Macaca mulatta: one gene and its partners. The protein of the gene in region 3 purifies or fractionates together with the protein of the main gene of each other region. This does not show direct contact. Links are inferred from orthologs where the notes say so. Each region holds a gene or a part of one and is shown on either strand. Other genes may lie near its edges. The genes, in order: MRTO4, NSA2 and GTPBP4.

Region 1 (10,649 bases), on a different chromosome or scaffold from region 3:
GTAGTCCATTTCTGTGTATTTTGTGAACCACCTAAGGGAAAAAGAAGCGGTAGGAGGGGATGCTCCTGGCCACACCACCAGCCCATGAGTCAGGCTCCCCCAAGTGTCCCGTGGCCCTGGGCCTTTACAGACCTTGGCTGCTGGCCAGCAGTCAGCCCACCACACCATGCTGGAGAGGGCAGAGAGGGCTGTGGTCCCAGGTCACTAGCTCAGTGACAGGCTTCCAGGAGCAGTTCCGACTTGATGCCGCATATGGAATGAAGTCCCTGCATCATCCCCTCCCTAAAATCCCCCTCACCCGCCTCTTTCTCTCCGTTCCTCAGCAGTACTTACTCATTCACCTCCTCCTTTGTGCAGTTGGTGAACAGGAGACCCACTTCACCCCTCAACCTTTTGCTGACCTACAAATCAAGAGTGAGGCCAGCTTGGTCACATTAGAGCAGTGGTTCTCTACTAGGCACGTTTTTGCTCACCAGGGGACATTTGGCAACGTTTAAAGATGTTTCTGGTGGTCACAGCAGGAAGGAGTGGGAGGCAGGAAGGGTGCTATTCCCTGGGTCCGGAGGTGAAGGGAGAACCCAGAGCTTTAAGCCAGGCCCTGCTCTCCCTGAGCCACGGGCCAGCCGACGGCTAGGGGAGGCTATCACGTGGGAGTAGTGGGAGAGAAGGCGGCTCTGCCTCAGCCCCACCCCGTGAAAACCAGAGATTTACCTGGTGCAGGTTGTCTTTGTACTCATCAGATGGGCTTCGACCCAAGGCCACCATCATTACCTTGTTTTTGCCAAAGAACATCCTACCAAGCAAGAGAAAGAGCATTCTGTGAAGGAAGTGCCCTGCCCTCCCCGCCCCTTAGCAACATGCAAAGCAGCTCTGGTCCCCAGTGAGCTCAGGCCCAGGCTGAGCCAGTGGCACTCACTTCTCCATGCTGCCTGGCCACACTGTCCCCACTTCGGGGTCCTTTTCATTATGTTCCCACCCACAGACCCCTGACATGGCAACACTTTGTCTCCCAGCCCATCACGAGCATCATGTACGAGTTCTCCATCTGGATGTATGCAGGAGGCACGTTAACAGCCTGAACCAGAGCTGGGGCGGCAGAAGACCAACACCAGAGCCACCTGCTCCAGGACAGAAACTGGCCATGTGGCTCCTGCATCCTGCTCCCAGGTCACTGTCTGTGTCCCAGTGCCCATGCTGACATTCTAAAACTGGTGTGATGCTCCTAAATGGCCCAAAGTCCAGGGTTAAAGGGCCACTTCTCTGGAAAGGACCACCTCTCAAACATCTCAATTGCCAAGTCCTGCCCCCAGGAGCTCAGTGCAAAATCTGCTTTTTTTCTTTTTGAGATGGAGTTTCACTCTGTCACTCAGGCTGGAGTGCAATGTGCGATCTCAGCTCACTTGAACCTCATGAGTTCAAGCAATTCTTCTGCCTCATCCTCCCGAGTAGCTGGGATTATATTATAGATGCCCGCCACTATGCCCGGCTAATTTTTGTATTTTCAGTAGATAAGGGGTTTTGCCATGTTGGCCAGGCTGGTCTCAAACTCCTACCTCAGGTGACCTGCCTGCCTCAGCCTCCGGAAGTGCTAGGATTACAGGTGTGAGCCACCGCACCCGGCCCAAAACCAGCTGTAACAGTGAAAAGGAAGTGCTCTTCAGTGGCAGGTAGCACTTTGTCATTATTAAGGTGTCAGTGGCATGACCCAGGCACCTAAAGGGTCAGAAATTGCTCCTATACTTTGACTGAGAGCAGCCTGGCCGGGTCCCCACTCAGAAGGGCCTTCTTCCCCCTGCCCACTCACCGGCTGTGCTTCCAGGCATTCCGGATGTCCTTCAGCTTGCTGTTCCTCATGTTGGCCACAGAGAAGATGAAAAGGTACTTGTAGGTGTCCACACATTTCCGAAGCTGTGGGACAATTCACCAGGCTCTGAGTTCAAGCAGCAGTATACAATGGGCACTACTCTGGCCTCAGATGAGAATGAATCTGCTCTGGGCCCCTGACAACTATGGAAACTGGAAGAACTGGAGGCCTCTAATTGGGTTGTCTCCTACCTCTATTACTGAAATTAGGATCCCTAACTACAGGGGAGGCTGAGCCATGGATCTAGGATCCCTAACTACAGGGGAGGCTGAGCCATGGATCTATACCCCACGGCCTTTTCCAGGTTTCTCACTTATCTATGACCAACAGTGGAACTGACCATCAACGGTTAACCTAGAAACATTCACCCACACTACGAAGGGTCCTGCTACGTGGAAGCATATGGAGCCTCACTGTTATAAGGGGAGGCAGCTGATCAGCACTGCTCTGCAGGTGGTGCTGGCCAAAGCCACCAGGAGGCAGCCTCCAGGAGTGGAGTCATTGTGCAGAAGGAGACTGTTTCATCCAGCCTGCAGCCCAGGTTGGCAAGTCAGAAGCTGTACAGACAGTGGGTTGGTGCAGTCACCTACACCTGGTAAATCTCCCAGCTATTTTTTTTTTTTTTTTTTTGAGACAGAGTCTCGCTCTGTCGCCGGGGCTGGAGCGCAGTGGCCGGATCTCAGCTCACTGCAAGCTCTGCCTCCCGGGTTTACGCCATTCTCCTGCCTCAGCCTCCTGTGTAGCTGGGACTACAGGCGCCCGCCACCTCGCCCGGCTAGTTTTTTGTATTTTTTTAGTAGAGACGGGGTTTCACCGTGTTCGCCAGGATGGTCTCGATCTCCTGACCTCGTGATCCGCCCGTCTCGGCCTCCCAAAGTGCTGGGATTACAGGCTTGAGCCACCGCGCCCGGCCAGCTTTTTTTTTTTTAAAGACAGGGTCTCACTCTGTTGCCCAGGCTGCATACTGCCATGTCCAGCTAGCTTTTTTTTTTTCTTTTCTTTTTGTAGAGATGAGGTTTTGTCATGTTGTCCAGGCTGCTCTTGAACTCTCAGACTCAAGCTATCTGACCACTTGGGCTCCCAGATTACTGTAATCCCACGCTGGGATTACAGGCGTGGCCCACCGTTCCTGGCCTCCTCCTGTTTTTTGTCATTGGGCAGGCTAACAAACCTCTATAAGCTTCAGTGACCCCAAATGCAAAACAGCAACATCATCACCTAGTACCCACATCTCAGCGATGTTATGAGGATAGAGTAGAATGACACATAAGAAACACTTAGTGCAGGACAGGGCACAGAGTATGAGCTAGTCAAAGCTGGAAATCATCACTATGGAAGTTTTTGCTGGTGCTGCTGCTGGAGGAAAAAGGGCTGGATTAGCAGCTTGGAGATTTTTTTTTTTTCCAATAGTATGCTCCCCTGGCCAACAGTCCTATACCTACCTTGATAAAACGAACAATTGCAAGCTCTAGAAAAAGAAAACTTCTTACCTCTTCTATCAGGTTTTGTTTCAATTCCAAGCCTTTCTTGGCAGTTTTGGTTAAGGAGACTAATAAAAACAAAAAGGAGAGAGATGATGAGGGACCAATCTAGATGCATTGGACACTTATTTTTTTCTCCCCTTTGGCAGAGAGCTCAGTTGGATGCAGCCATTCTGAAAAAAGGCAGCAAGGCCTTCGTGGCCATCATTTCTGGCACACAAAGCCATTTCCAGGGCCCACGGAATGCCTACTCATTAGCATCCTGGCCCTGAAGATCTCTGGATATAACTCCTGCTATTTAGACAAACTAGGCCTTTCTTAGCCCCTAAGGCTCACCCAGAAAACTTGACTGCGGTGTGGGGGTGGAGACTGTTCCTGCCGCTGGGAGTGCTCTCAGTGGCAGACCTCACCTGCTGGCTGAGGCAGGCCCCTATTTATTTCTTTTTTGAGATGGGATCTCACTCTGTCACCCAGGCTGGCATGCAGTGGCACGATCTTGGCGCACTGCAACCTTGAGCTCCTGGGCTCAGGCAATCCTCCCACAGGATGACAGGTACACCCCACCATGGCCTGCTAATTTTGGCTGGGACCATAGAAATGCACCACCATGCCCAGGTGAGTTTTGTATTTTTGCAGAGATGGGTTTTGCCATGTTGCCCAGGTTGGTCTTGAACTCCTGGGCTCAAGAGATCTGCCTACCTCAGCCTCCGAAAGTGTTGGAATCATAGGTGTGAGCCACCACACCCGGCCCCTTGCTGCTCTTGACCATGATGCAGAGGCCACTCTAGCTGGCCTATGCTGTGCAACCATGAGACTGGGGACTGAATCTCCTGTTATGTATCTGCACTCCAGTTTTGCAACCTGGACCCACAGATGCAGCAACACCTCTCTGGGGAGGAATATGTACCTCTACTGTAAAAATGGCTGGGGCCCAATTTGCCCTCTACCCAGAGAGTTTGCATTTGCCAGACCTGACCTGGGCCCCCTCCACAGAATCAAATCGTTCCACAAACACTTAACAGAACTCCAACTGCAAAGCCCCGGGCGCCTTCACAAAGGGACCCGGGCCTCTCTTCTTTAACCTGCCCGGCACTCAGCCCCTCTTAACAAGGTACCACACAGACAAAGACACTGACATCAGTCAATGGTAAGTGGAGTAGAGGGGGGCAAACGAAATATAGCGGGCCACTTCCCATCATTTCCACTGTTACACCTTTGGCTCAAGTCAGCATCACCCTCTCTTGGATTAATGCTGGTCTCACTGCTTCCATCCCTGCCCTCTGCCCTGTCTTCCCCAACTATTCTCACCAAGGCAACCAGAGTGACCCTTTATAAGCAAAGGTAAATCACATGAGTCCTCTGCTACCCATTTCACCTGGGCAGGAAAGCCAATGCCTTACTAAGGCCGAGGAAGCCCTGCCCTCTCTGCCTAACCCCTCCCCCAACTGTATTTGGCTCCTTCTGCTCCAACCCCACTGGCCTCTTGTCCCAAACATGTCAAACCTGCTCCCACTTCAGAGCCTTTTCAGTTTACGTTCCCTCTACTTGCAACAGCACTCTTCCAGATAATTCCACAGGTGCACAATTCCACAGGTTGCTCGCTTCCTTTAATTTTGTTCGTCGCCTCATCAGTGAGACCTTTCCTGACCACATTATACAAAATATTGCCGTCTCTTCACCCCACTTTTACTCAATCTGATTTTTAGCATTTTGTGGAATGTGTTTCCCCTGAAACGTTAGGCTCGATAAGAAACAGGCCTTCTTTGTAACTGCTGTATCCTCCAACGCCTAGAAAGTGCCAGACCCCTGAATATTTTTGAGTATGCCAGGGAGTCGGGTTAAAAGAGATACCACCACAGCAAAGGTGGTCAAAAATGGTCTCTTAAGTGAGCCACTACGCTCAAGTCGGGCGTAGTTCCAGACCGCTTTGGCAACACACTGAAAGTCGTCTCTATAAAACAACAACAACAACAACAACAACAACAACAAAACCTAGCTGGGTGTAGTGGCGTGCACCTGTAGTCTCAGCTACTCGGGAGGCTGAGGTGGGAGGATCGCTTAAGCCAAGGAGGTCAAGGCTGCAGTAACTTATTTTTGAGACGGAGTCTCGCTCTGTCGCGCCCAGGATGGAGTGCAGTGGCGCGATCTCGGCTCATTGCAACCTCTGCTTCCCGGGTTCAAGCGATTCTCCCACCTCAGTCTCCCAAGTAGCTGGCATTACAGGCACCCGCCACCACGCCCATCTAATTTTTAGTATTTTTAGTAGAGACGGGGTTTCACCATATTGGCCAGGCTGGTCTAGAACTCCCGACCTCAGATGATCCACCCACGTTGGCCTCCCAAAGTGCTGGGATTACAGGCGTGAGCCACCACACCCGGCCTGTGGCGCCACTGCACTCCAGCCTGGGCAACAGAGCGAGACCCTGACTCAGAAGAGTCCTATTAACTGACAACTAAGAAGGAGCAAGCCATACGAAGAGGTAAGCATGCCAGACAGAAACAACCGCAGACACACAACGCCAGACACGAGAAAAAGCCTGTGCTGAAAGAAGGGAACGGGGAAAGGCAGCCAGGGTGGCGGGAGCGCAGGAAGATGAGAAAGGGCCGAGGTTGGGAAAAGTGGGCCGAAATGGCACCAGGCACAGCCGGGGGCGGTGTTCAGGAGCTGCCTCCCGGCCCAGTAGGCCTTGTAAGAGCACTTGAAACTAGGCAAGAGTCTCCGCTCCCCGGACCCGACCAGGCGTCAGCCCCCTCTGGCGGTTTTACAGCCTCGAAGCCCCCATTCCAGCTAGCAGCGAGGCAGCGGAACACCTCGAGGATGTCCTGGCGTTCTATTCTGCGCCCCCGCCGCCCCGAAGCTCTCACCGCAGGCTGGGCAGCCAACCCACGGAGGTCCCCCCAGGGGCCCAATGCCCCCTTTGCCCACCTTTCTTGTCGCGCTTGGATTTGGGCATCGCGCTGAATCCACGTGCGGCGGAAGACGGTGCACCCCTTTAGGACCCCGGCGGCGCGGGGGCCTCTGGGACGCCTCTCGGGGGCTGCCCCTCGCGTGTGCCTGACCCAGTGTGCACTGCAGCCTGCCTTTTTCTGCCGAGCCACCACCTGCGCTTTCTCCCGCGCCTGTAAGGCTACTTCCCGCGTGCCGAGGAAATCCCCGAATCCCAAGCGGCCCACCGAGGGCCTCGCACACGGTCCCAACTCTGTGGTCCCGCGGAGGCGGAGCCCGCGGCCCGGTGCATGCCGGGACGGCGGTGGGCGGTGCCTGCGCTCGCATCATGGCGGCTGAGTGGGCTTCTCGTTTCTGGCTTTGGGCTGTGCTGCTGATTCCTGTGGCCGCGGTCTACGAAGACCAAGTGGGCAAGTTTGATTGGTGCGTACGTGTAGAACATATTCGAGAGATAAGTGGCTGTTTCCACGGTACCTGTCTCCTGCCTGCTAAAGGGAAGGGGGTTGTCATGTAACAGGATTGGCCGCATAATTTGCAGGACCCAGTACAAAATGAAAACGTGGGGCGCCTTGTTCAAAAATTAAGGATTTAAAGTCGTTCGAAGCAGAGCTTTAAACCAAGTGTTACGGGTCCTTCTAAGCTGATCCTTGTGTGTAAGCCGGCCCTGCCATCCAGGCATGCTTGGGGTGCTGGTCAGAGGTCACTGATCCCGTTCTCCCTCGTCAGGTTCCATTTCTTTGACTGTCAGGTTTCTGGTCTACCAGGTGTCAGAGGTCGCCACGCCGTCAGTGAACTTGAATTCCTACTCGAATTGGTGTCTTGTAGGCATTTGAACAGGAGCTTTCGTCTTAAAAGTCCTAAACTGCACCCTTTTCCCCCTCTCATCAACCTAGTCTGGCCCTGGGCTCAGAGCAGGATTGCCCAAAACTCTGAGCAGCTAGAATATGCCATTCATTCCTTCATTCACCCACTCACGTCTTCCTTAAGGCCCTGAAGTAGCTTGCTTTTGTTTAAATTTTACCAATTAAGAGTTGTGTGATCTTGGGGAAAGTGGCTTAACCACTCTGTGCCTTTGTTTCTTTGTCTATACAATGGGTTTACTAACAGTCTGTTATCTATTACAGTACTTGTGAGAATGAATGAGACAGTCCAATTAAATTACTTAGAACAATGCCTGGCTCATTGAATGCAGTCATTAAATGTTACCTGTTATTATTGCTCTTTACACTTTATTCTTCAGGGCCCAGCTCAGATTTCTCCTCCTCTGAAGTATTTTCTGTCTTGAAAAAGTTGATTCACATATATGTTGAGTACCTGTTATGCCAGACAGTGTGACAAATGCAACATAAGTTAAATTTTTAATGATGTGCACAACTGTTCACAATGTCATATGTGTATATTACACATATATAGCAGGTGATATATATATCTAATGTTGCAGAATACTAGATATATGCAATTTTCTTTTCATGAATGAATGAATGAATGGCATTTCCTAACTGCTTAGTGTTTTGGGCAACTCTGCTCTGAGCCCAGGGCCAGGCTAGGCTGATGGGGGGGAAAGACTCCGTTTAAGATTTTTCTTTCTTTCTTTTCTTTTCTTTTTTTTCTTTTTTTTTTTAAGACGGAGTTTCTCTCTTGTTGCCCAGGCTGGCGTGCAGTGGTGCGATCTCAGCTCACTGCAACCTCCACCTCCTGGGTTCAAGCAATTCTCCTGCCTCAGCCTCCCGAGTAGCTGGGGTTACAGGCATGAGCCACCATGCCCAGCTAATTTTGTATTTTTTTGTAGAGATGAGGCTTCTCCATGTTGGTCAGGCTGGCCTCGAACTCCTGACCTCAGGTGATCCACCCGCCTCGGCCTCGCAAAGTGTTGGGATTACAGGTGTGAGCCACAGAGCCTGGCTAATAAACACCTCCGGTTTTTTTTTTTTTTTGAGGCGGAGTCTCACTCTGTCCTCCAGGCTGGAGTGCAGTGGCGTGATCTCGACTCACTGCAAGCTCCGCCTCCCGGGTTCATGCCATTTTCCTGCCTCAGCCTCCCGAGTACCTGGGACTACAGGCGTCTGCCACCACGCCCAACTAATTTTTTGTATTTCTGGTACAGATGGGATTTCACCATGTTAGCCAGGATGGTCTCGATTTCCTGAGCTTGTGATCTGCCCGCCTCGGCCTCCTGAAGTGCTGGGATTACAGGCATGAGCCACCGTGCCCGGCCACAAACACTTCTTATATGTCCTAAAATGAGTGTGATGGTGATAGCCCTGTGATTTGTTCTTTTCTGGAGCATTTTGTGGAATGGTGATTTTAGCTCCTTACATTCCCCTGTACTCTTTTCCTCAGGAGACAGCAGTATGTTGGGAAGCTCAAGTTTGCCTCCTTGGAATTTTCCCCTGGATCTAAGAAGTTGGTTGTAGCCACAGAGAAGAATGTGATTGCAGCATTAAATTCCAGAACTGGGGAGATCTGTGAGTGAACTGGGAACCGTGTCTACTGGCTGCCTAAGGGATGGAAGGCTCACCATTGCCAACTCTGCTTGGCTGATTCCTGAATAAGGGACATGTTGGCCAAAAGACGCCTCTCCTAGTGGATTTTGATACTTTTTTCAGTCTTACCATCTTTGAATGTTTGTATATTCCTATAACTGACCTTTGCAGTTTATTCTCTTAGCCTGAATCCTGAGTGCCCTTAAATAAGATATTGCTGCAAGCCCAGGCGGGAGGATCACTTGAGCTCAGGAGTTCGAGACCAGCCTGGGGATCACAATGAGGCCCTATGTCTAAAATTTAAAAAATTAGTCAGGCATGGTGGTGTGTGCCTAGAGTCCCAGCTACTTGGGAGACTGAGGTGGGATTCTTGCTTGAGCCTGGCAGGTTGAGGCTACAGTGAGCTGTCATCATGCCAGTTCACTCCAGCCTGCGCAGTAGAGCAAGACCTTGTCTCAAAAAAAGATGCTGCTGCAGAAAACACATTATTCTACTTTGCAGTAAACTCTCACATACCCTCACTTAATTACCTACACTGGCTGTGTAAATTAAGGCACTAAAATAATGGAAATAGAATTTATGATCACTATTTTTCTTTTTTTTTTTTTTTTTTTTTGAGACGGAGTCTCGCTCTGTCACCCAGGCTGGAGTACAGTGGCGCAATCTCGGCTCACTGCAAGCTCCGCCTCCCGGGTTCACGCCATTCTCTGGCCTCAGCCTCCTGAGTAGCTGGGACTACAGGCGCCCGCCACTGCGCCCGGCTAATTTTTTTTCTATTTTTAGTAGAGACGGGGTTTCACCATGGTCTCGATCTCCTGACCTTGTGATCCGCCCGCCTCGGCCTTCCAAAGTGCTGGGATTACAGGCGTGAGCCACCGCGCCCGGCCGATCACTATTTTTCTTATGACTTGGATGGATTTTATTAATCTTATTGTTGTTTGTTTATGTTTGATGGGGTGGCAGTGGGGCCTGGACAGTAGTGGCTCCTCTTAACCCCTTCTACCTTCATTACCCCGTGAATGGTACTGGATCACTGCCAGTTAACCATACTCCTTCACTCCCTCGAAATAAAGTTGGACATTGCAGTGCAAATGAAGAGCTCTTCATTTATCTCTTAGTCTTCTGGGTTGCCTCCTTCTGTTCACAGTAACATCTAACTTTCATGTCTCTCAGTGTGGCGCCATGTTGACAAGGGCACGGCAGAAGGGGCTGTGGATGCCATGCTGCTTCACGGACAGGGTAAGCAGAGTCCTCCTGTGTCTCCATTGTGTGGCCGGCTCCCTGTCCCATTCCTTGGCTCTGTCATCTGTACAGGATCTGGTAGGGAAAGGAGATGGGGGACTCCTGACAGTGAAGGACAGATACCTATTTAACATGTATTTGCATCCCGAAATCAGAGGTGAGGCCATTGCTCACAGTGGGACCCTAGGAGGCGACAGAACAATTGGGAAATGACTTCACCATGATCTTTTCTTTTCCAGATGCAATCACTGTGTCCAGTGGAGGCCGAATCATGCGTTCCTGGGAGACTAACATCGGGGGCCTGAATTGGGAGATAACCTTGGACAGTGGCAGGTAGGGGAGAAACTGGATTCTATCTTGACTGAGTTAAAGGATTTATCAGAACACAGATCTGCACAGACAGCAAGTCTGGGCTTGTGGCTTTTTCCCAGGGACCACTGGAGAGCCAGCCATTGAGTCCCCATTGTGGATATGCTTGCTCGGCCAACATGTATTGCCATTGAGTGCCCGTTGTGGATATGCTTGCTCAGCCAACATGTATTGAGCACCTGTTAGATGCAGAGTTTCCAGGTGCAGTGTTTGCGCTTGTGCTTGTGTGCTATTCCTAATTTCACTGTGATTTGTGAGTTTTG
Region 2 (10,779 bases), on a different chromosome or scaffold from region 3:
CTCCTGGGCTCTCAACCTATCCACCCCACCTCAGCCTCCCAGAGTGCTGGGATTCCAGGCCACCACAGCTAGCCTCCGAAAAGTTTTTTTTTTTGCCCTGAAACAGCTACCTAGCAACATCCTCAGATTTTTACTGTCTAGTCATCGACAGTTAGACTTACTAAGGACTTGATATATACCAGGCCACTATGCTAGCTCACAACTGGCTCACTTAAACACAATAACCTCACAACAAACACATCCCTCTCTCTCTTGTTTTTGAATGATGTAACAAGGAGCAGCAGGTTAAATGACTTGTTTCCAGATTAAATGGTGAGTGGTAAACAGAATCAAACCTAAATATCGTGATTCCAAGTCTTTATATACCTCAGCTACCTTCCATGATGAAAAAAGGAGTGGATTGTTAGCTTTCTTTAGGTTGATAGTAATATGAGACTGGAGAAGGCCCAGAGAGGTCTTTGTTACAGAAACTGGTTATGGAATCACCCAGTCACCTAATAGGGTCTTTTAGGGTGTAGTACTTCAAACATCACAACATTTTGCAGTCTTGATTTCTGCGTGTATGGGGATGGGGAGAAAACAACACTAAATCAGTTTCTTAGTAACAGACTCATTAATGAAGCTCTTAAGAAACTGACACCATTCAGGATGCCATCTGATTAATTCACAATGACAAATCTGTGAAACTACAGAAAACCTAGAGTAGCCTGACTTGTATATTCTCTCCCTGTAGAACTGGTAAGGCTACCCAAATATATTCAGAATATGAATACGAAACCAAAACAAGTCGATTCCATGATATAATCCAGAGGTGGGCAAACACTTTGTGTAAAGAACCCAAAAGGTCAACATTTTAGGCTTTGCCAGGCCATATGGCCTCTGTTACAACTGTTCAATTCTGGGGGTGGGGGTTATGCAATATGTAAATGAACAGGCATGGCTGTGTTCCATTAAAACTTTATTTACAGAAACAGGCTGTTTGCCAATATTTTAATCTATTAAAAATTACTCAGGTTGGCCAGGCGCGGTGGCTCATGCCTGTAATCCCAGCACTTTGGGAGGCTGAGGCGGGCAGATCACAGAGATAGAGACCATCTTGGCTAACATAGTGAAACCCCATCTCTACTAAAAATACAAAAAAATTAGCCAGGCATGGTGGCGGGCGCCTGTAGTCAGTCCCAGCTACTGCGGAGGCAGGAGAATGGCGAGAACCTGGGAGGCGGAGCTTGCAGTGAGCTGAGATCTCGCCACTGCACTCCAGCCTGGGCGACAGAGGGAGACTCCGTCTCAAAAACAAAAACAAAAAAAAATAGGTTGAACACTAGGATTTGGGCATGTTGCAACTTTCTTCTCTCTGATACTTTGTTTTTTTGAGGCTGTGTATCTAACTGGGAGAATAGTTCAGTCTCTTTGAAGGGATTTTGCAAAAATACATCTTCAATTATGTTTCTCCCCGGGGTGGGGAAGTTTGGGGTCATATTACTATTGCTGCCTTCAATAGAAATTAAGCTATATTAAATTATCTTCCTTTTTTCAAAGATTTTTTTTTTTTTTTTTTTTGAGAGTCTTGCTCTGTCCCCCAGGCTGGAGTGCAGTGGTGTGATCTCTGCTCACTGCAAGCTCTGCCTCCCAGGTTCATGCCATTCTCCTGCCTCAGCCTCCCAGGTAGCTGGGACTACAGGCGCCCACCACCATGCCCGACTAATTTTTTTGTATTTTTTTTTTCATTAGAGACGGGATTTCAGTGTTAGCCAGGATGGTCTTGATCTCCTGACCTCGTGATCTGCCTGCCTCAGCTTCCCAAAGTGCTGGGATTACAGGCGTGAACCACCGCGCCTGGCTTTTCAATGATTTTCAAGAGCATTTGGATACTTTCCTTACCAAACTGAAACTGACTCTTACAAAACAGTCCTAGTCAAGTTTTCGAACTGTTGTCAAAGACAAGAAGTGTTTTGAGACCTAGACAATATCAGGCATATAGCAGATCACTAGTTGAATGAGAAAATATGAAGAAAATGAAGATTCTAATATGTCATGTTTAAAAGTCAGAATTTACTGACAATGTCTTATGACAGTTTTCAAATCTCTTACGAAGCTGAAAAAAAAAAATATATATATATATATATATTTTTTTTTAGACGGATTTTTGCTCTTCTTTCCCAGGCTGGAGTGCAATGGTGTGATCTCGGCTCACTGCAACCTCTGCCTCCCAGGTTCAAGTGATTCTCCTGCCTCAGCCTCCCTAGTAGCTGGGATTACAGGCGCCCGCCACCACACCCAGATTACTTTTTGTATTTTTTAGTAGAGATACGGTTTCACTATGTTGGCCAGGCTGGTCTTGAACTCCTAACTTCAGGTGATTCACCCACCTCAGCCTCCCAAAGTGCTGGGATCATAGGTGTGAGCCACCGCACCCGGCTAAAGATTCTTAACTAGTGGAAAAAGTACTAAATAACTTCTATCACTAACTTAAAATAACAAAAATAGCATAAAAATATCTTCCAATCTGTTCCACATCAATTTAAAGAATTTCAGGAAATTATAACGTTCTTTATCCGATTTAACAAAGTGAACTAATATTTCAGTCATTACACTCTTCCAAGGACTTACCATTGGCCTGATAAATCTTTCATATTTAGGTGGTTTTCTTGTAAAGCCATCTCCAACAAAGCACACTTTAGTAACCATCCTCTTCCATGCTTTCTTCTTTCTCTTTCCTGTTCGAACAACTTTTAATACTTCTGTTTCTCCCTGGGCACGTACTTTAGGCAGAGGGACTTCCCATTTTCCCTAAAAATATGCCACAGTTAAAAGTTTACATTGTTATTAAAGGACAATGAGAATAAGTCAAGTATGTTTTAGTTGTACAAAGCAGTAGATCTATTTTTTTTTGCTTAACCATCATTGGCTCAACTGTTATTCTAGAGTTCTGTATTGTCTCATAAGCTGCAAATTAAACAGAACAAGTTTATATATCATGGGTACATTAAATAAATGGTTGACTTAAGCTAAAAATCTTATTGCTGTGTTATGGGTGAGAAAATACCACCTGTAATGTGGTGGTAATTTTTTTTTTTTTATTTTTTTTTTTTATTTTTTGAGACGGAGTCTCGCTCTGTTGCTCAGGCTGGAGTGCAGTGGTGCGATCTTGGCTCACTGCAACCTCTGCCTCCTGGGTACGAGCAATTCTCCTGTCTTACCCTCCCGAGTAGCTGGGACTACAGATACACACCACCACACCCAGCTAATTTTTGTATTTTTAGTAGAGGTGGGGTTTCACCACATGGTCAGGCTGGTCTTGAACTCCTGACCTCAGGTGATCCACCTGCCTCGGCTTCCCAAAGTGCTGGGATTACAGGCGTGAGCCACTGTGCCCAGTCGATGGTGACTTCTATAAGCAGTGTTATGTGTTTACTAATGTTTAACAGCCTAACACTGGACGAGTGTTTCCACCTCTTGTCTCTGTATTTCTTCCTGAAATGGATTTGTAGATTACATTAATAGTAAGACAAAGTCCTCACCAGATGTTTTATGCCTCCCTTGAGTGCAAATTCTATGAAAAAAACTGAAGTAGTGTAAGGCAGTAGAAAGAATTCTTTAAATATAGATACAGTATATTCTTTTATCTGGATTTCTGCTAATCTATTCACAGATGTTTTAAAAAGCCACATTTTTTGTGATAACTCAGGGAGTTTTCCACCATTCTGCTTTTGAACCAATTTTGGCACTACAGGACAGCACAAATAAGAAGCATTTGTATTTTTCTTTATGACTGCATAGCACTGTGGGTTTTCAAACAGGAAGACAAATATTGAATTTGAAATTCACTCCTTATCAGCTTTTTAATTTCATATGGCATTCTAATAATTTTTTTAAAACTTAAATTTTAGAACCTTATGATGGGAAAGCAAGTTTTTTTTATTACTAAATTTACAAAGACCTCAACATCTAAATAATGGGAATAGCTGTACTTCATGTTTGAAATTAAACCAAGAAACAAGAACCTCAAATTTGAATTTAAGTAATTCTCCTAAACAAAACAAAGACTTCAATTGTTATTGCTTACCGCCTTCTCTTTTCGTTTCTGTTTAATCATATTGGAAAGTACTTTAGCTCGAGATTGTCCCTCTCTGTCCAGCAGATAGGCAGGTACTGCTCCCTGTGGAGTCTTTTCATCATTCTTTTGTTTGGTGTTTCTCTTTTCATGCATCTTGATACTACCAAGAAGGAAAAAAGATTCAAAATTACCTGTTTTAATAATGATGACTCAAAAGATGTTAACTTGTCATGACAAATGAGACCACTTACGTCTTCTTCATTTGTATTTTTTCAGCATGGCGCTGTTTATGGTAAAGCTTAGCTTTCAGACCAATCATTTTCTTTGCCTTCTTTGAACGTTCATGAGCCTCTCGACTTTCCTTCTTTCTCTTTTTCTCATGGTAATCCAAACGGTATCCATAGCGTTTACGGTGTAATTCAATATATTCGTTCTGTGGCTATAATGATGCAAGAAATGTTATTTTAGTTTTTAAAAGTACTGACAATTATTCTAAAATGCTTGCTTTTACACAGCATAAAGACCCTGTTTCATCCAAATGTTCACTTACTTGAATGATTATTGCACCATTAAGTCTATTCACATGATGTAAGTTAAATTTTGATCTTGAATGGTATGAGGCATCAGGGCTTACATTTCTAATAATCTCAGTAGGGAATGTTCCAAAATCTACTGGACCACAAAAGGGATGAACTGATTACAGTATCTTTTTTCCTTGATATAATTTGCTTTTTAAATAACATCTTCATTTCACATTAAAAAAATTTAAGTTAGTTTTATTGAAGCATAATTTACACACAGTAAAATCTGTTCTTTTTAGGCATACAGTTCTAAGTTTTTTTTTTTCCCCCCTTTTCTTTTTTGAGACAGAGTCTCGCTCTGTCACCCAGGCTGGAGTGCAGTGGTGTGATCTCTGCTCACTGCAAGCCCCGCCTCTCGGGTTCAAGCCATTCTCCAGCCTCAGCCTCCGGAGCAGCTGGGACTACAGGCGCGCCCGCCACCGCGCCAGGCTAATTTTTTGTATTTTTAGTGGAGATGGGGTTTCACAGTGGTCTCGATCTCCTGACCTCGTAATCCGCCCGCCTCAGCCTCCCAAAGTGCTGGGATTACAGGCCTGAGCCACCGCGCAGTTCTACGTTTTTACTAACTACACAGTTCTGTAACCACCACAATCAAAATAGAGAATTTCTATTTCCCCCTAAAATTCCCTATGTCACTTTGAAGTCAATCCTCTTTTCCAACCCTCAATTTGATACCTATCCCTAGTTTTGCCTTTCTCAGAAAGAAACAGGGATCAACAGTAGTACATAGCCTTTTGAATCTGGTTTGGGATTCACCCAATTTGTTGCAGGTATAGGTACTTCAATTCTGTTTATTGTTGAGTAGTATGCTATTGTATGGATATACCACTGTTTACCCACTGACCAGTTCATAGGTATCTGGGTTGTTCCCAGTTTTGGCTGATTACGAATAAATCTGCAATAAACTGCATGCAAGTCTTCATGTGGACATGTGTTTACTGCCAGACCGTTTTCCAAAGTGCATTATTTTTCATTTCACCACCAATGTATGGGACGCTTTTTGCATTTTAGACACGTTTTATTTTAAACACGAGACCAGGCGTGTCTATTCGTATTTTAAGGCTGCAAAAATAAAAATGATACAAAGCCAAGTCCAGCACAGAGAACAGTGTTAAGTAACAAATAGCAAGGCGTGCTGCTACCAACTGCTATCATATAAACTTTGCAGCAATCACATGAAGGGTGTATGGAATGCCACTTCGCAAAGAAACGCAAGATGATAGAGACGTAACAGAAAGAGCATGGATCTGGCAGTTAGATCTGGGCCGTTAAGTCCGGCTTCGCAATTCATTAGCTGTCTGGTCTTCGGCAAGGACCCCTTCATTTTGACGCCTTCAGTTTCCTTAACAGTAAAATGAAAGGGGTGGGATTAACATCTAAGATTGTACAAGGCACAACCATATTCCCATTAGGCTCTGGTGCTGATAACCATGCTTGTGGTGAAATCAGTAATTTTTAGGACTCTTAGTGGTGGAGCAAAAAGAAAAAAAAAAAAAAAGAGTAAAATCTTGCTCCAAAGCTTGTGTTCTGGCAAATACCCTCTGTGTCTCGAATGTGAAGTTGTTTTCACTCCTTAGAGCGCACCCCACGGAGTCCACCATCCTTTTCCCTTAGCAGTTTTCATTTCCGCCTACCACCGCTCACCCCCTGCCCCAGCGTCCCAGAGCCCTCAGGTCCCACTAACTCAAACGCTGTATGTCGCGGGCGTCCGACGCATCCTCCTTACCATGGTGACGGCCGCAGGGCCGCCAGGAGCAGCCCCTGGGGTGCGAAAACGCTCTCAATTTTCGGGGCTCAAAGACCCACAAGCCCACTCCACGCAGGCCGGGACAGGAAAGGGTCGCCCTTTAAAACGGCCGAGTGAAGAGCAAGAACCACGCAGCGGTTCCGAGCCTCCGTTTTCCGCTTTTAGGTTAAGAGGACGGAAGTTGCTGGCAGGCGGCATTTGGCCGGTACACCGCCGGAAGTGCGGAGGTGTGGCTGCTTGAGGCGGCAGAGCGGAAAAATCCTAGCTTCATTTCGTTTAGGTACAAGGCCGTTTGTCTAGGCTGGTGTGGAGACTTGAGGCCTTTGCAGACTTTGGCGCGGCCCGCGCCTCCTGCTTCAACAGCCCAGCGGTGACGAGCTGGCCTGCGGCACGCGGCCTAATACCAGGTGAGTACTGCTCCGAGCTGTGAGACATTGCACGCCTGTGACCCTGTCCCGCGCTGGGTATTGCTGACCTTCCAGGCTGCGACAGACACAGCCAGCCACGGAGGAGGACAACAAGGCCTCCGGACTCCCCTCGGTGTTCGCTCAATATGGAAGTTTTTCTCTATCATTCGGCGAGGGGGACTCATCTTTGTTCCGGTCACACTGTAATGTGTGCACGATTGTGAAGGATGCTGAGGAATGAAAACTTAGTGTACAGAAAAATAGAACTACTGGGCCTTTGCAACTGTTAGAAAAGACGAAGATAACATTCTGTTTTTTTTTGGAGGTACAGGACTGATTCCAGAAATTTCTGAGGCGTTTTGGTGCACCGCATCAAATGCTAAGTGAGTGGACTTGTATTTAGTGGCCCCCTAGAGGCCAAGAAGTAATTCATTACAAGAAAAAGTACGTCTGCTTGAATACACTGTCAATTTTACCCTTTTACTGCACAGTTGCAGAAGTTCCTTTAATTACTTCACAGCTTGTACGTGATTCAGTTGATGAACAAAAAGAACTGTACCAAAAGAATACTTTCATTAATTCTTAGTGCTTGGATTTGAGGCAGTATTTTGTTTTTGTGGGTTTTTTTGAGACGGCATCTCGCCCAGTCGCCCAGGCTGGAGTGCAGGGGCGCGAGCTCTGCTCACCGCAGCCTCGACCTCCCGGGATCAAGCGATCCTCCGAGTTCAGCCTCAAAAGTAGCGAGTTACAGGCTCGTGCCACCACGCCTGGCTAATTTTTGTATTTTTTGTAGAGACGAGGTTTCACTATGTTGCCCAGGCTGGTCTCGAACTCCTGGGTACAAGCCATCCACCCGCCTCGGCCTCCGAAAGTGTTGGGATTACAGGCGCGAGCCACAGCGGCCGGCTTTGAGGCAGTTTTTGTTTTGTTTTGTTTTGTTTTGTTTTGAGACGGAGTTCCGCTCTTGTCGCCCAGGCGGGAGTGCAATGGCGTCATGTCATCTCACTGCAACCTCTGCCTCCCGGGTTCAAGCGATTCTCCTGGTTCAGCCTCCCAAGTAGCTGGGATTATAGACGCCCACCACCACACCCGGCTAATTTTTTTGTATTTTTAGTAGAGACGGGGTTTCACCATGTTGGCCGGGCTGGTTTCAAACTCCTGACTTCAGGTGATCCACCCGCCTCGGCTTTCCAAAGTGGTGGAATTACAGGCATGAGCCCCCGAGCCCGGCCTTTGAAGCAGTTTTTAAGGCTCCATTTTCTAAGGTGATATCATCATTCTCTTTAAAACCAGAAATAATAACTAGCATTTGTATATTTTAGGTACAGTACGTTATATAATCTCTTTGCCTGTAATGCACCCCTCCCCGCCGCCCCCCCCCCCCACCCCCCGAATTTCCTCCCTCATCTACTCCAGGTCTTTGCTTAAATGTCACTATTTGAATGAGGCCTTCCTTGATCTCTTTACTTCAGTTCTAACTGTCCCAATTCTTCTTTCCTGCTTAATTCTTCTCCACAGCACCTATCATCATAGGAGAGACTATGTGTTGTATTTGTTACTTTTGTTTGTTGTCTCTATCCCCTGACTAGGATAGAGGCAGTATGAGGGCAGAGATTGTTGTCTTTTGTTCACTGCAGTAACGCTAATATCTAGAAAGCAGTGGGTAGACAGACATGTAGTAAATTCTTTTTGAATAAATGGGAAGGAATAGGCTTGGGCGGGGGAGGGCTGGGTTATGCAAATTATCTTTTTATTGACAACCACTGAGTTAAAGTAAGAAGAGGAAAATGTCTATTAAATGTCTATTACAGTCGTAACTGTAGAGAGACTATGAGGCCCTGAACTTTGGCATTACCCATGAAGAGGGAATGGATTCAAGGCTGGGCATGGTGGCTCACGCCTGTAATCCCAGCACTTTGGGAGGCTGAGGCGGGCAGATCACTTGAGGTCAGGAGTTCATTACCAGTCTGGTCAATATGGCGAAACCCCGTCTCTACTAAAAATACAAAATTTAGCCAGGCGTGGTGGCACATGCCTGTAGTTCCAGCTACTCGGGAGGCTGAGACAGGAGAATTTGCTTGAACCCAAGAGACAGAGGTTGCAGGGAGCTGAGATCGAGCCACTGCATTCCAGCCTGGGTGACCCTGTCTCAAAAAAAAAAAAAAAAAAAAAAAAAAGGAAACAGATTCAAATATGTTTAGGAAATCAAATGAAAGTATTAGATGACTTTCTAAATAAGAGTAGTGAATGTTTCTTAGCTAAAATCCAGAAAAGAACAGACTTAGGAGTAGTAATGAGTTTTGACATATCTTCTTAATAACATGGATCACAATGGTTTAACACAAGTGTGTCTAATCTTTTGGTTTCCCTGGGCCACACATAAGATACACTAATGGTAACTAACAATAGCTGATGAGCTAAAAAAACATTGCAAGAAAAAAAAACTCACAATATTTTAAGAAAGTTTACAAATTTGTGTTGGGCTGCATATAAAGCTATCGTGGGCCGCATGTGGCCTGCAGACCATGCGTTGGACAAGCTTGGTTTAACGTGATCTGTTTGTCTCCCCAGCACCCCCAGTCTCAGCTGCGTCCTTAGATTTCTAATAGCTTTGATATTGTACTTGAAACGTAGTGAATATTTAGCAAATGTTTTTAAATTAAAGATGCTTAGTTTCTATAATCAGAGAGGAAGAGGACTTTTATATATTTTTTACATGATTTAGTTTTTACATGTTATGGTAGGAAAATCAGAATATACAAATGAACCAGTAAATTTTACTGCCAATTAGAAATTACCAAGTGTGGATTCTTAGTTTTTATACTTAATTCTATTCATTTACATAACAATGCATTTTGGTTGATACAGTGTTTTGTAATTTCAATAAGTTGATTTCTAATGTATCTCCATGTCTTTCTTTAAACATTACATTAACAAAAAGGGACATTTTAAGCCTAAGAACCATATTTCTCATATTTAATCAGAATTTTCATTTTCTGAATGATGCATTGTATTTTTGGTAGCTAAAAATATCATTCCAACTTTTTAAAAGTAATAGATTTTACCTTACATATGTCTAACTTACATATGCCTTGCTGACATGTAATACATAACTTTAGTTTTATAATTTTGTATATTTATTTTTTCAGACAATAACAGTTTGGAGGATCAAAATGTTGAGCAACTTGAGGATATGTGCAGTGAGTCATCAGACAATATCCAGTGTGCATATTAATGTAAGCATTTCTTACAAGATTAAATGTCCTTTAACAACCTCAGCTACTTTACTGCCTAAAATGCCCAGTATATCTCATCAGCTGTTTATTCCAGACTTAGTTGAGTCATAACCTTTGGAAATCTTCAAGCCAAACTAATTTGAAAGTAATTGCCTTAATTTATTAAGAAATATGAGAGGAAATTACCTTAATTTAAAAGTAAAAGAACAGCTGTAGCTAAATGCTGGTCTCATGGAGTACTAAAATGCCAGTTGTTTTTGAAGGAGGGTACAGTTTTATATCTAAGAATGTCATCACTTAATGTACATCTTTAACAGAAAATGTGCTTTGTAATGTTAAGTATCCATAGATTAAGACTCTTATGAAATAAAGTTTCTCTTAATATCGAAGTATAACATAATTGTACAATGGTTGATAAAACTACTTTTGGCTGTCTTCTGCAGAGCTGTTGGAAGCCAACTTCTTGGGCAGTCTGATCTTTGTCTCAGGAACATTGTTTTAGTCTTTAAGCTCTGGTCTGACTCCTGAATCCTCTCCGAAACACTATAAATTATTTTATGAACTATCGCGTCTTCAGTATACTTCAGAGTTATTAAACCTCAAACGTAATAATACCCCTTTTATCTAGTGCTAAGTGAAAGATTACTTTAAAGCTTGCTTGGGTTATTTCTTTTTATCTTCAGTGACTTAACAGGGAGTACAGTAGTTTCCCCTTATTCATGGTTTTGCTATTAGCTGTTTCAGTTGCTCA
Region 3 (10,767 bases):
TCTCCCCACACAGATACTCCCTACTCCCTTCCATGGCTTCACTGCATTCATCTGACACGCTGTTTACTGTCTTTTCTCCACCAGAATGAGATCATGAACCTTTACCACTTCTGGATTCCTAGTGCTCAGAACAGTACCTGACAGACAATAAGCACTCAGTGAATGACGACTTAGTGTCTAACCCTACACTAACCCTCCACTCTGAAGCTGTTCTCAGATAACCAGTCCTGGCTTTGAAAGAAGTAATAGAATGTTAATACATTTGAACTCTCCTACCTCTGATGGCTATAACACTGAGGAAGAAAAAGATAAAACTTCTTAAAAAGAACCACAAAAATCTGATACTAAGTAGATCAAAATATGTTGTTTGCTAAAATCAAGTGCTTCCTAATATCAAATCAGTTAAGAATAATCTCATTCTTGGCCAGGCGCAGTGTGGCTCATGCCTGTAATCCCAAAACTTTGGGAGGCCGAGGCAGGCAGATCACCTGAGGTCAGGAATTCGAGACCAGCCTGGCCAACATGGAGAAACCCCATTTCTACTAAAAAAAAACCCACAAAAATTAGCCGGGCATAGTGGCACATGCCTGTAATCCCAGCTACTAGGGAGGCTGAGGCGGTAGAATTGCTCAAACCTGGGAGGTGGAGGTTGCAGTGAGCTGAGATCATGCCATTGTACTCCAGCCTGGGCAACAGGGCAAGACTCCGTCTCAAAAAAAAAAAAAAATCGAAACATATTCTTAATCACTTTCTTCACCCCCAGGTACTCTCTAGTACCTGACCTTTCCCAAGAAACCATTCACTCATTCAACAAACATCTACTGAGCAACTGTGTCAAATCCTAGACAGATGCAACCTAAGTGTCTGTCCTCTAGCAAGAATTTTTGCATTTTATTTTAAGTACTTCTGTATTTTAAAAATAAGCCATTATTGGCTGGGTGTGGTGGCTCACGCCTTTGGGAGGCCAAGGCAGGCGGATCACCTGAGGTCGGGAGTTTGAGACCAGCCTGGCCAACATGGTGAAACCCTGTCTCAACTAAAAATACAAAAATTAGCCAGGCATAGTAGCAGGCACCTGTAATCCCAGCTACATGGGAGGCTGAGGCAGGAGAATCGCTAGAACCCGGGAGGTGGAGGTTGCAGTGAGCCAAGGTCGTGCCACTGCACTTCAGCCTGGGCAACAGAACAAGACCCCGGCTTAAAAAAAAAAGCCATTATTACTTGTTTAAATATGAAGTACTGTCACAGAAGCCAAATGTTTCCCTCTGCTTACATCTGCCTTCAGCAACTATTGTGGGGCAATGGCGGATTTAGGCTTTGAGACTATACTGCTGATCCCCGCACCCTTCACAACCTCAAATAACCTTGCAACCACATTACCCCATGCGTGGTGTCATGAGGCTTTGTCAGCAGTGCCTGCCAAGCAGACACTGCTCTTACTTTTCTACAGCTAAAGAAACAGGCAGGCCGGGCGTGGTGGCTCACGCCTATAATCCCAGCACTTTGGGAGGCTGAAGCAGGTAGATCACTTGAGGTCAGGAGTTCAAGACCACCCTGGCCAACATGGTGAAACCCCGTCTCTACTAAAAATACAAAAATTAGCAAGGCGTGGTGGTATGCGCCTGTAATCCCAGCTACGCAGGAGACTGAGGCACAAGAATTGCTTGAATTCAGGAGGCAGAGGCTGCAGCAGGCTGAGATCACGCCACTGTACTCCAGCCTGGGCGATAGAGACTCAGCCTCAAAAAAAAAAAGAAATAGAACAGGCAAAACAGGCAAACTGCAATGTGCAGCAGTGAAAGGAGCTCAAGGTTTCTGGCTTCATTCAAAAGTCACAGCTCCCACGTGATCTCTTCTTGCCAAAGAAGAAAACAGTCAGTGCTGAACTGTCATCAGCTGATGAAGCAACAAGATCACAAACAGTGGTGGAGTTTACACCACTCACCCAAGCTGAGCCCAGAGGAATAAAACCCTTGGAAAGAGGGTGCAGGAGATGAAGCCCAAACAACCAGTGAGCTGTCAGCTTCTGCATTCATAACCCACAGCTATCATTACCACTTGGGTTGGCACCTGTAAGCCCAGGGGTTACACAGAAAGCCTGAGAAGAGAGCTTCGGGCCTCCTTAGATGGGGTTTAGTTGGAGGAAAGAATACTAGGGAATCAAAAAACCCATATTCTGTTCCCACTTTTATTAATTCAACAAATTAGTTATTTGCCACTAACTTATTGAGTAATCTAAGTAATTTACTTTGTTTCCTTTTCTGTCAAATGAGTACACCAAACTGGTTAAACACTGATTCTCTGAAGGCTCATATTTACATAACCACAGAAGTCCCCCAAGTCACTTACATCCAATTTAGGGAAATCTGTTAGAATTTGTGAAAGTCTATCATGGTAATTCTGTTGAGTAAATTTGACTTTTCTCATGTAAAAATGTCTAATGCGATGAATTTGGTAATGTTTATGAATAACAGTTGGAGTCTTTCGTTGAGTCTTCGACAATGTCAGGTCAATAAAGTCCTGCAATTAAAGAAAATAAAACATAATTACATCAAAAGTGTCTACTTTTGATCCACTTATTTGAAACCTTCTTAAAACACTAATTACAGTACTACATATTTTAAATTACAAAAATTTACTCTAAACATTTTATGTACAACCTTGTTCATCTTCAAACACACGGCTGCTAAGATAAATTTTACGCCACACTTTCTTGATGCTATCTTAATTTCCAAACACCTAAGAACCTTTGAAACTTAAGTAATCAGAGAACTCAAATCATAAATTAGAAAAAATAGTTGAGAAAAAGAAACAATCCTCCCATTTCTTTATGCATATCTTTGACTTTGAAAGTAGATAAAATAACAGGTAAAACTAAAATCCACTTCATAATTTCCTAAGAGCATGGAAGGGAACTACTTGAGGAGATGAAGGATTTTTGCATGAGTTGCCCAGTGCAAAGAGTCAGCACTTCTCTTTAATAAGGATCCAATTCCCAGGATTCCTCAATCCAGTGTATCTAGTCACACAAAATTACTTGGATCTTTTTTCTTGAACACTTTGATTAATTCAACAATTTGATTAACTCAATATTATTTCAAACAAAGGTTGTTAAGGATACTTGGGTGCTGAAGATAATGAACAAGATACTGTCCCTTCCTTCACGGAATTCAGGGTCCAGTGACAGAAGTAAACACGTAGGCACAACACAGTCTGCCAAGTATTATACTATGAGGGGCACGCACCGTCTCCCCTCTGGGTCTACAAGTGAGACAAGTAAACAGGTGGTCACAACAGTCTTCCATGTACTATGAGGGGCACACACGGTCTTCCCTCTGGGCCTACAGAAGATCTTCCCTACATTTTTCTGCACCTAATGGCGTTCACACATCCTGAAGGGGGACCAGTTCAAAGGTTACCTACTTCATAAGATTGCCCCTGACTCTCCAACTTACCACAGCTAACCGCACTCTTCTCTCCCAATCCATGTGGGTCCTCCATGATAACAATGTTTCATTTCTAGTATGGTCATTCATGATGCCACTTACCCTTTTTTATTTTGTTTTGTTTTGTTTTGTTTGAGACAGAGTCTTGCTCTGTCGCCCAGGCCGAAGTGCAGTGGCAGCACAATCTCCGCTCACTGCAAGCTCCGCCTCCTGGATTCACGCCACTTTCCTGCCTCAGCCTCCCCAGCAGCTGGGACTACAGGTGCCTGCCACCACGCTCAGCTAATTTTTTTGTATTTTTAGTAGAGACGGGGTTTCAACGTGTTAGCCAAGATGGTCTCGATCTCCTGACCTTGTGCTCTGCCCGCCTCAGCCTCCCAAAGTGCTGGGATTACAGGCATGAGCCACCGCGCCGGCCTCGACTTACCCCTCTTGACAACGACTTCCAAAGAGGCAGGTATTTTATCTAATGCATTTTTGTAACACAGTACCCAATGCATAGGACAGGCACTCACTTAACAGCTTCTAGAATGAACTGAATACCACACACTTTCCTGATGTGATTTTTTTTTTTAACTTCCAATCACCAAACAATTACCATCACCCATTTTTTAGGTGTAAACTCATCTGTTCTCTAAAAATACAAATCTCATTCCACAGAAGATGGATGGTGTACTAACATATCCTAAAGTTCTCCACATAAGTCAATAACATGAACAAAGTTCATGTAATCCAAAGAGCAAATTCCTTCAACAAACTTGAGAGATGGCTGACCAAAAATACAAATAAGACATGATTCCTGCACTCGAAAATACTACAATCTGGCCGGGCGCGGTAGCTCATGCCTGTAATCCCAACACTTTGGGAGGCTGAGGCAAGTGGATCACGTGAGATCAAGAGTTCAAGACCAGCCTGGCCAACATGGTGAAACTCCATCCTACTGAAAATACAAAAATTAGCCAGGCCTGGTGGCCTGCACCTGTAATCCCAGCTACTCAGGAGGCTGAGGCAGGAGAATCACTTGAATCGGAGGCGGAGGCTGCAGTGAGATGAGATCCACCACTGCACTCCAACCTGGGCAACAGAGCGAGACTGCATCTCAAAAAGAAAGAAAGAAAGAAAATACTACAATCTATCAAGAGATGTGTCAGAACAATTGTCAGGAAGAAATGAGAAATGGAGAGAAGTGGGGAAACAATTATTGCTATGAAGGTAAAATACGAGACTCCCACAAAGCTTTCCAAGGCAAGCTCATTCCGTTGTTAAGACGTGAAGAAAAGGAGACACTGATGAGAGGAAAACAGTCACTCTGCAGGGACTTCAGTAACTCCCTCTTGTGCAGCAGTCCCTGAGAGGCTCGAGTTGCCCGTCAATGTCTCTGTAATTGCGGCCCAAATCGAATGTTCACTACATAAAAACATGACTTCTTAAAAGTCGTAATACCAGGGCCGGGTGTGGTGGCTCACGCCAGTAATTCCAGCACTTTGGGAGGCCGGAGCGGGAATTCGAGGGATCTCGAACTCCCTGGGATCTCCCTGGGAGACCTGGGATCAGGAGTTCGAGGCCAGCTTGGCCAACGTGGTGAAACCCCGTCTCTACTAATAACACAAAAATTAGCCGTGCGTGGTGGCGCACGCCTGTAATCCCTGTTACTCGGGAGGCTGAGGCAGGAGAATCGCTTGAACCCGGGAGGTGGAGGTTGCAGTGAGCCTTGATCGCGCTCCAGCCTGGGAAACAAAAGCGGAAAACTCTGTCTCGGGGAAAAAAAAAAAAAAAAATTCTAACACTTAACACTTGTTGACTCATTCTTGCCACACTAACCAACGCTGTAAAAATTTAGTCTGGGCCTACTATGGTCTAAAAAGAACAGGGGTTCCCAAATCTAACAGTGAAAGAGAATGACTTAAAAATTAAGAAATGTTAAATCACGATAGCAACGAACCGAGGATTCCTGAGAGGGGAGGGGGCTACGCCAAATCCAGAATCTGAAGGCTCATCACGGACCACGGAGTGCTTCCTCCCTCACATGTTGGGGTCCCCTCCACTCGCCCACCTCGTCACCCGGAGCCCCTCCAGGGAACCCTACTCTGGGTGGACCCCGATCTCTGGGGGCCCTCAGTCTCTGGGTGGACCCCGGTCTCAGGTGGACCCGGGTCTCTGGGGGATCCGATCTCTGGTGGACCCCGGATTCTGCTGGGGGAGGGGAAATGATCTCGAGTACCCGTCCGGCAGGTCGGGCCCGGGAGCGGGTGGTGGGCGAGCGGAAGGCGACCGCTCTCCCACGGCTACAGGCCCGGACCCTCCCCTGAGACCCCGCTAATGAGAAGGCGAAAGTAGCCACCTACCTTGGCGGACGGAACCACCGTAATTTTCTTGAAGTTGTAGTGCGCCATGCCGGCTGCCGTATGCACGCGGGTACTGGGCACTCCCGGAACTTCCGCCGTCGGGAGCAGGAGGGACTTCCGCCGTCGGGCGCTTGCTGTACGTCACTTCCGGGAGCCAAGCGTGTCTTGCGTGCTCTATGGCGCTTTCGGCGTCGCACAGCGCACCCGCCCGGCCTGGAGGTCCGCCGCGGAGAGTGTGTGAGGGCCCCGGGAGCGAGGGCGCGGGGGAGAGGACGCCTGGGTTTTAGGGGGCGCGCGGAGACTAAATTCATGCTGGGTAAAGAAGAGGCTTCCGACAGACTGCCCTGCGGGTTTCTGGAGCGGGTTCAGGCCCCCAGCCATCCGCCCTGAAACAGGGTTCGAGGGGGGTCTTGGGATTTGGGGGATGCGGGGCTTAGGAGTCCGGAGGGTCGAGGGTATCCGGGAGTCTGGGCGTCCGGGGTCGCGGCGAGCCCCGCCGAGGAGGAGGGAGCCGCGCGTGCGGGGTGTGCCCGGGCTCTGGGTGTAGAGCGGGTGACACCCCCCACTCTGATCCCGGGCGGTGGTGAGGAGGCCCTCGCGGCTCCCCTGCAGCCCTCCTTTCTCGTGCTTGTTAAATCCCAAAACGGGCGGAGAAGGGAAATCCTGATCTCAGGCGAAAGAGGTGCCGCTGGTTCCGCAGAGTGCCTTAGGAGAGCGGAGGAAGCAGTTTCGAGAGACAGTCCTGTGGGGTCCAACAGAGGAGAAAGGTGATGAGGATGGAGCCTTTACTGCTTTAATGTTTGTGAATAGTGTGGCCGCTCCCTTAAGGAACCCAGGGCCACATCCTGTAAATTAAACGTTAGGTAGGGCTGACTCACTCAAGCAGTGTTCAGAGCTGTTGACTACATATTAACTCGTTTAATTCCTGCAACTGCCTCATGAAGTGCGTGGGGAAACCCAAGGCACAGCAAGGCTCGAAAGCAGCCCAGGGTTGTGCAGCTAAGGGGCAGCAGAGGTGGGCTTTGAACCCAGGCAGCCTGGCTCCAGCAAACCTACTTCTAACGATTAGCTATACTGCTTCTCACGCATCTGGGATGCCCCCCACTCTCCAAACCTTTTAAATAAGTCCTATTATTCTTACACGAAAATACCTCTCATAAATTCCCAACATTCCAATATTGAAAATCATTCTGAGTCATGCTTTTCTCATCTATTAACTATGCTTCCATTTTTGTGTCACAAGGCGGATAAGCATACCTCCTACATCTCTGGCACTTCTAAAGGAAGCTTCTAGGGTAATTAGGATTCGCTGGCTATGATCATTTGCTAAGCCGCAGGACAGTTCTGGCCACCATTTCCGAGATTAGCAAAGCTATGCTTATACTTACTGCCCTTTCTTTTAGGTTCTTATATGTTTCCTCAGCATCTCCCACTTTCTCTCACTCTGATATAGCCAGTTCCTCTTTCTTTTTCTTTTAATCCGATATTTAGATACTTTGCTTCAGATGGGCAAACATCCTTAATTCTTTTTTTTTTTTTTTTTTTTCTTCAAACAGAGTCTCACTCTGTCACCCAGGCTGGAGTGCAGTGCCACAATCTCAGCTCACTGCAACCTCCGCCTCCGGGGTTCAAGCAATTCGTCTGCGTCAGCCTCCCGAGTAGCTGGGATTGCAGGCACCTGCCACCATTCCCAGCTAACACTTTGTATTTTTAGTAGAGACAGGATTTCACCATATTAGCCAGGCTGGTCTCAAAACCTGACCTCAAGTGATCCACCGGCCTTGGCCTCCCAAAGTGCTGAGATGATAGGTGTGAGCCACCTGCTTTTAACTTGTTCAGCTACAAAGGCATGTCTGTGAATGCACAACCATAATGGCTCATCATGGGCCCAGAGCTATGACCATGGTAAGGTACCAAGCATCCTACACCATGTGCGTGTTGATAAGAATCAACATTTTTGCCTATTCTTGTGATTTTCTGGCTGAGTATAGCTTCTTGGGGGCAAGTGTGTGTTCTACACCACCAGGAGCAAGCTTCTCTATTGATAGACTTCTGGGCTTCTCTGGAGAAACCAAACGCTAAAGGCCTTTCTGAGGAGAGTCAGAAACGCTGCCTGCAGTATGAGGCACATTGCCAATTCTTGACTGTGTTAACGGAGGTTCCAGCTACCAGGATGCCTCCGAGTGTGTGTACCTTGTGACAGAGAAAGGTACTTCTCAGCCGTAGTAAAGGATGCTCTCAAGGGTACTCTGCAAAGCTTCTGACTGCCAGGCACTTCTCAGGGAAAAGCTTCGTTTTTCAAATCTCTTTGTTTTGTGGACTTGGTATTTTCTGTTTTACCTTCTTGTTGCTGTAATTCTGATGAATGAAAGGTACATTTTGCAGAATTGAACTTCCTGCCTGAAAGGAGCCTTTGCATGGGGATTAGCCATCAGTAGCCATCCGGTCTTAGAGGGTCCTAAGAGTGCTCCATCGGGCCCGTCAGCCACTTCCCTGGATCCCCACAGGAACTCATTCAGAACGAGTCACATGCTGCTTTGTACCTGGATGCTTCCTCGTGTACATCATGTTTGCAAAGGAAGTAGCCAGCTCTTCGTGGACAGGAACTGTGTCTTACTCTTCTGCCATCCCTCCCCTCAGGCAGCACTGCCGAGAGCATTCGCAGTGGCCATGGAACTCTGTTGATTGAATGTTGGCTTGAGGAAGTTCCTGATGTAGTTGGGCCTGTAGCAGTTGGGATCTGGCTTCTGCGATACTCAAGTAGTCCTACTGAATTACAGTACCGTCAGAACCCTGTGCACAACCCTGAAATGGGTCAGAACTCCACACTGTGCCATAAAGAGGAAAATTGTCAACAGGGAAGTCTAAGGAAACACCCTCCTTTGTGGAAGGCAGCAGTGGCATGAGAGCCACCCTCTGGGCCAAAGGTGCAGCCTGACATTCTCTGCAGAATTACACCATGAGTTAAGAGTGTGAGCTTCGTTTCTGAGATACAGCTCCACCCCCTCTGATCCTGGGAAAACTTATCAGCTTCACCAAGCCTCTGTTTCTTCACTCTTTGCTCAGTTACTATCTACCAGGCATGTTAAAAATACTTTATGTGAATTATTTTTGCTTTTCACTAACCCTATTCTACAGGCATTAATAAGTGAGCAAAGAGATTCTCTATTATTTGTTACGCATTATTATGTATTATCTATGTTCTTATTAACTACTTAGTTACAATAACGTTTGCTAAACTTTTGTTCTGTTCATTAAATTCTCGTTGAACCTTAACAACTGCAAAGCAGGGAGCCTCCACCACATGCCGGGTCACTTGCTTTCCTTCTCGGGACAGCATAGTGAGGTGGGTGTGATTGTCTCTGTTTCACAGATTAGAGTGCTGGCTTTGATGTGGTTGGATGCTTGCTCACCGCCACACAGCTGGAGAGACACAACTGGAGGTGAGTCCAGGGAGCATGGAATTCCAAAGCCACTCTCCTTTTGCACTGTCAGCCAAGAGTGGCTTTGTTCTTGACCTCTTTAGGGTTATTACCTCGTTTGGTATTTGTTTGTTTGTTTATTTATTTATGAGATAGGATCTCACTCTGTCGCCCAGGCTGGAGTGCAATGGTGTGATCTTGGCTCACTGCAACCTCCACCTCCCAAGTTGAAGCAATTCTCAGATTTAAGTGCCTCAGCCTCCCGAGTAGCTGGGACTACAGGTGCACGCCACCACACCCGGTTACTTTTTGTATTTTTTAGTAGAGGCGAGGTTTCGCTGTGTTGTCCAGGCTGGTCATGAATTGTTTGGTATTTACATGGAGGTACATGATGGATTGCACTTGGGGTCATATGCTGTCAATAATCCCCCAGCACCTGTGTTTCACTAAAGCACTGTTTGGATACGCAGACAGGTTGTTTCTTCTGTGAGAATTCCGTTCCTGTGTGTGCATCATGACAGGCACCTGTGCTAATGAACTTCTGCCCTTGCTCACGTCAGAGCTGCTGATAAGGGCTGTTTCCATGGGTTGAGTAAGAGTCATTCAATTGACACACTGTTAAAAACATTCTTTGCATTCTGCTGTTCCCTAAAGGAACAATTTTAGGTTTAATGGAAATCTTCCGATCTCTTTTCCTAGAGAAGATTTGTGATAATAATAAACATACACGTATTTGGAATGCATGTACTTATGCTTGTATGATCAATTTCCAAACGATTCTAAATATCTGCAGGCAGAATTTCTTAAGATTAGCATTCTGTGCTGTACCCAAAAAGATACTCGAGATAAGCAAAGATAAGTTTCATATTGCAACAGACATCTGAATCTTTGGTGTTTATGGAAGCTGGTTAAGCAGGTGGTTGTGATGTCTGACCCTCAGGTTAAAAACAGCGAAAAAAATTCACTTTGATGATGTGACGTTATTGTCACAAGTTTAATAATTGATTTTGAAGGTCTGCACAAGGAAACCATAATGTTTTAGCAATTTCCGTTTTCCAGAGGGAGGAGGCTTAAAATTTCAATTCCAGCCCTGCCACCAACTTCTAGACTAACAGTAAGCTAAGTGCCTTTCCCGCTATTATTTTTAATTAAAAACATATTATTTCCTCACAAAAGCATAGAGGTATAAAAATAATATTTGCTATCAGAATGTATCTGTCTGGACAGTCTAAATTATCCTATGATAACAAATAGTCTCCAAATCTCAGCATTGGTTGTTTCTCTCTGATGCTTCATGCCCACTGCTCTGGACCAAATTGAGTCTCCCCAAATTCCTATGTGAAAGCCCTGACCCCCATTGTTATGGTATTTGGAGATGGAGCCTTGGGGAGATAATTCGGTTCAGAAAAGGTCACGAGGCTGGAGCTCTCCTGGTGGAGTTGGCATACTTATGAGCACTTCTGAGAAAAGATACCAGAGGGCTGCTCCCAGGCTTCCCCGACCCCATGCATGCACCAAGGAGAGACGATGTGAGCACAGAGGGAAGGCAGCTTT

Evidence for each region.
Region 1: the proteins of GTPBP4 (region 3) and MRTO4 purify together in Homo sapiens (affinity purification with mass spectrometry; 3 studies listed by BioGRID and IntAct, counting the BioPlex papers as one, with this or other methods). This does not show direct contact. The link is inferred for Macaca mulatta from reciprocal best matches to the Homo sapiens genes GTPBP4 and MRTO4.
Region 2: the proteins of GTPBP4 (region 3) and NSA2 purify together in Homo sapiens (affinity purification with mass spectrometry; 3 studies listed by BioGRID and IntAct, counting the BioPlex papers as one, with this or other methods). This does not show direct contact. The link is inferred for Macaca mulatta from reciprocal best matches to the Homo sapiens genes GTPBP4 and NSA2.

Annotation. Positions count from the first base shown.
Region 1 is NC_133406.1:221,717,575-221,728,223, forward strand, and holds the start of MRTO4 (mRNA turnover protein 4 homolog), read right to left. Parts: upstream 6,446-10,649; 5' UTR 6,300-6,445; coding exon 6,272-6,299; intron 3,414-6,271; coding exon 3,355-3,413; intron 1,909-3,354; coding exon 1,805-1,908; intron 794-1,804; coding exon 712-793; intron 402-711; coding exon 334-401; intron 32-333; coding exon 1-31. Other genes in the region: EMC1 (ER membrane protein complex subunit 1 precursor), read left to right, coding at 6,621-6,715, 8,633-8,757, 9,949-10,014, 10,257-10,350. UniProt on the Homo sapiens protein: Component of the ribosome assembly machinery. Nuclear paralog of the ribosomal protein P0, it binds pre-60S subunits at an early stage of assembly in the nucleolus, and is replaced by P0 in cytoplasmic pre-60S subunits and mature 80S ribosomes.
Region 2 is NC_133411.1:81,141,785-81,152,563, reverse strand, and holds the start of NSA2 (ribosome biogenesis protein NSA2 homolog), read right to left. Parts: upstream 6,403-10,779; 5' UTR 6,368-6,402; coding exon 6,365-6,367; intron 4,497-6,364; coding exon 4,309-4,496; intron 4,218-4,308; coding exon 4,067-4,217; intron 2,791-4,066; coding exon 2,611-2,790; intron 1-2,610. Other genes in the region: GFM2 (ribosome-releasing factor 2, mitochondrial), read left to right, coding at 9,966-10,028. UniProt on the Homo sapiens protein: Involved in the biogenesis of the 60S ribosomal subunit. May play a part in the quality control of pre-60S particles.
Region 3 is NC_133414.1:1,643,963-1,654,729, reverse strand, and holds the start of GTPBP4 (GTP-binding protein 4), read right to left. Parts: upstream 5,867-10,767; 5' UTR 5,840-5,866; coding exon 5,792-5,839; intron 2,521-5,791; coding exon 2,350-2,520; intron 1-2,349. UniProt on the Homo sapiens protein: Involved in the biogenesis of the 60S ribosomal subunit. Acts as a TP53 repressor, preventing TP53 stabilization and cell cycle arrest.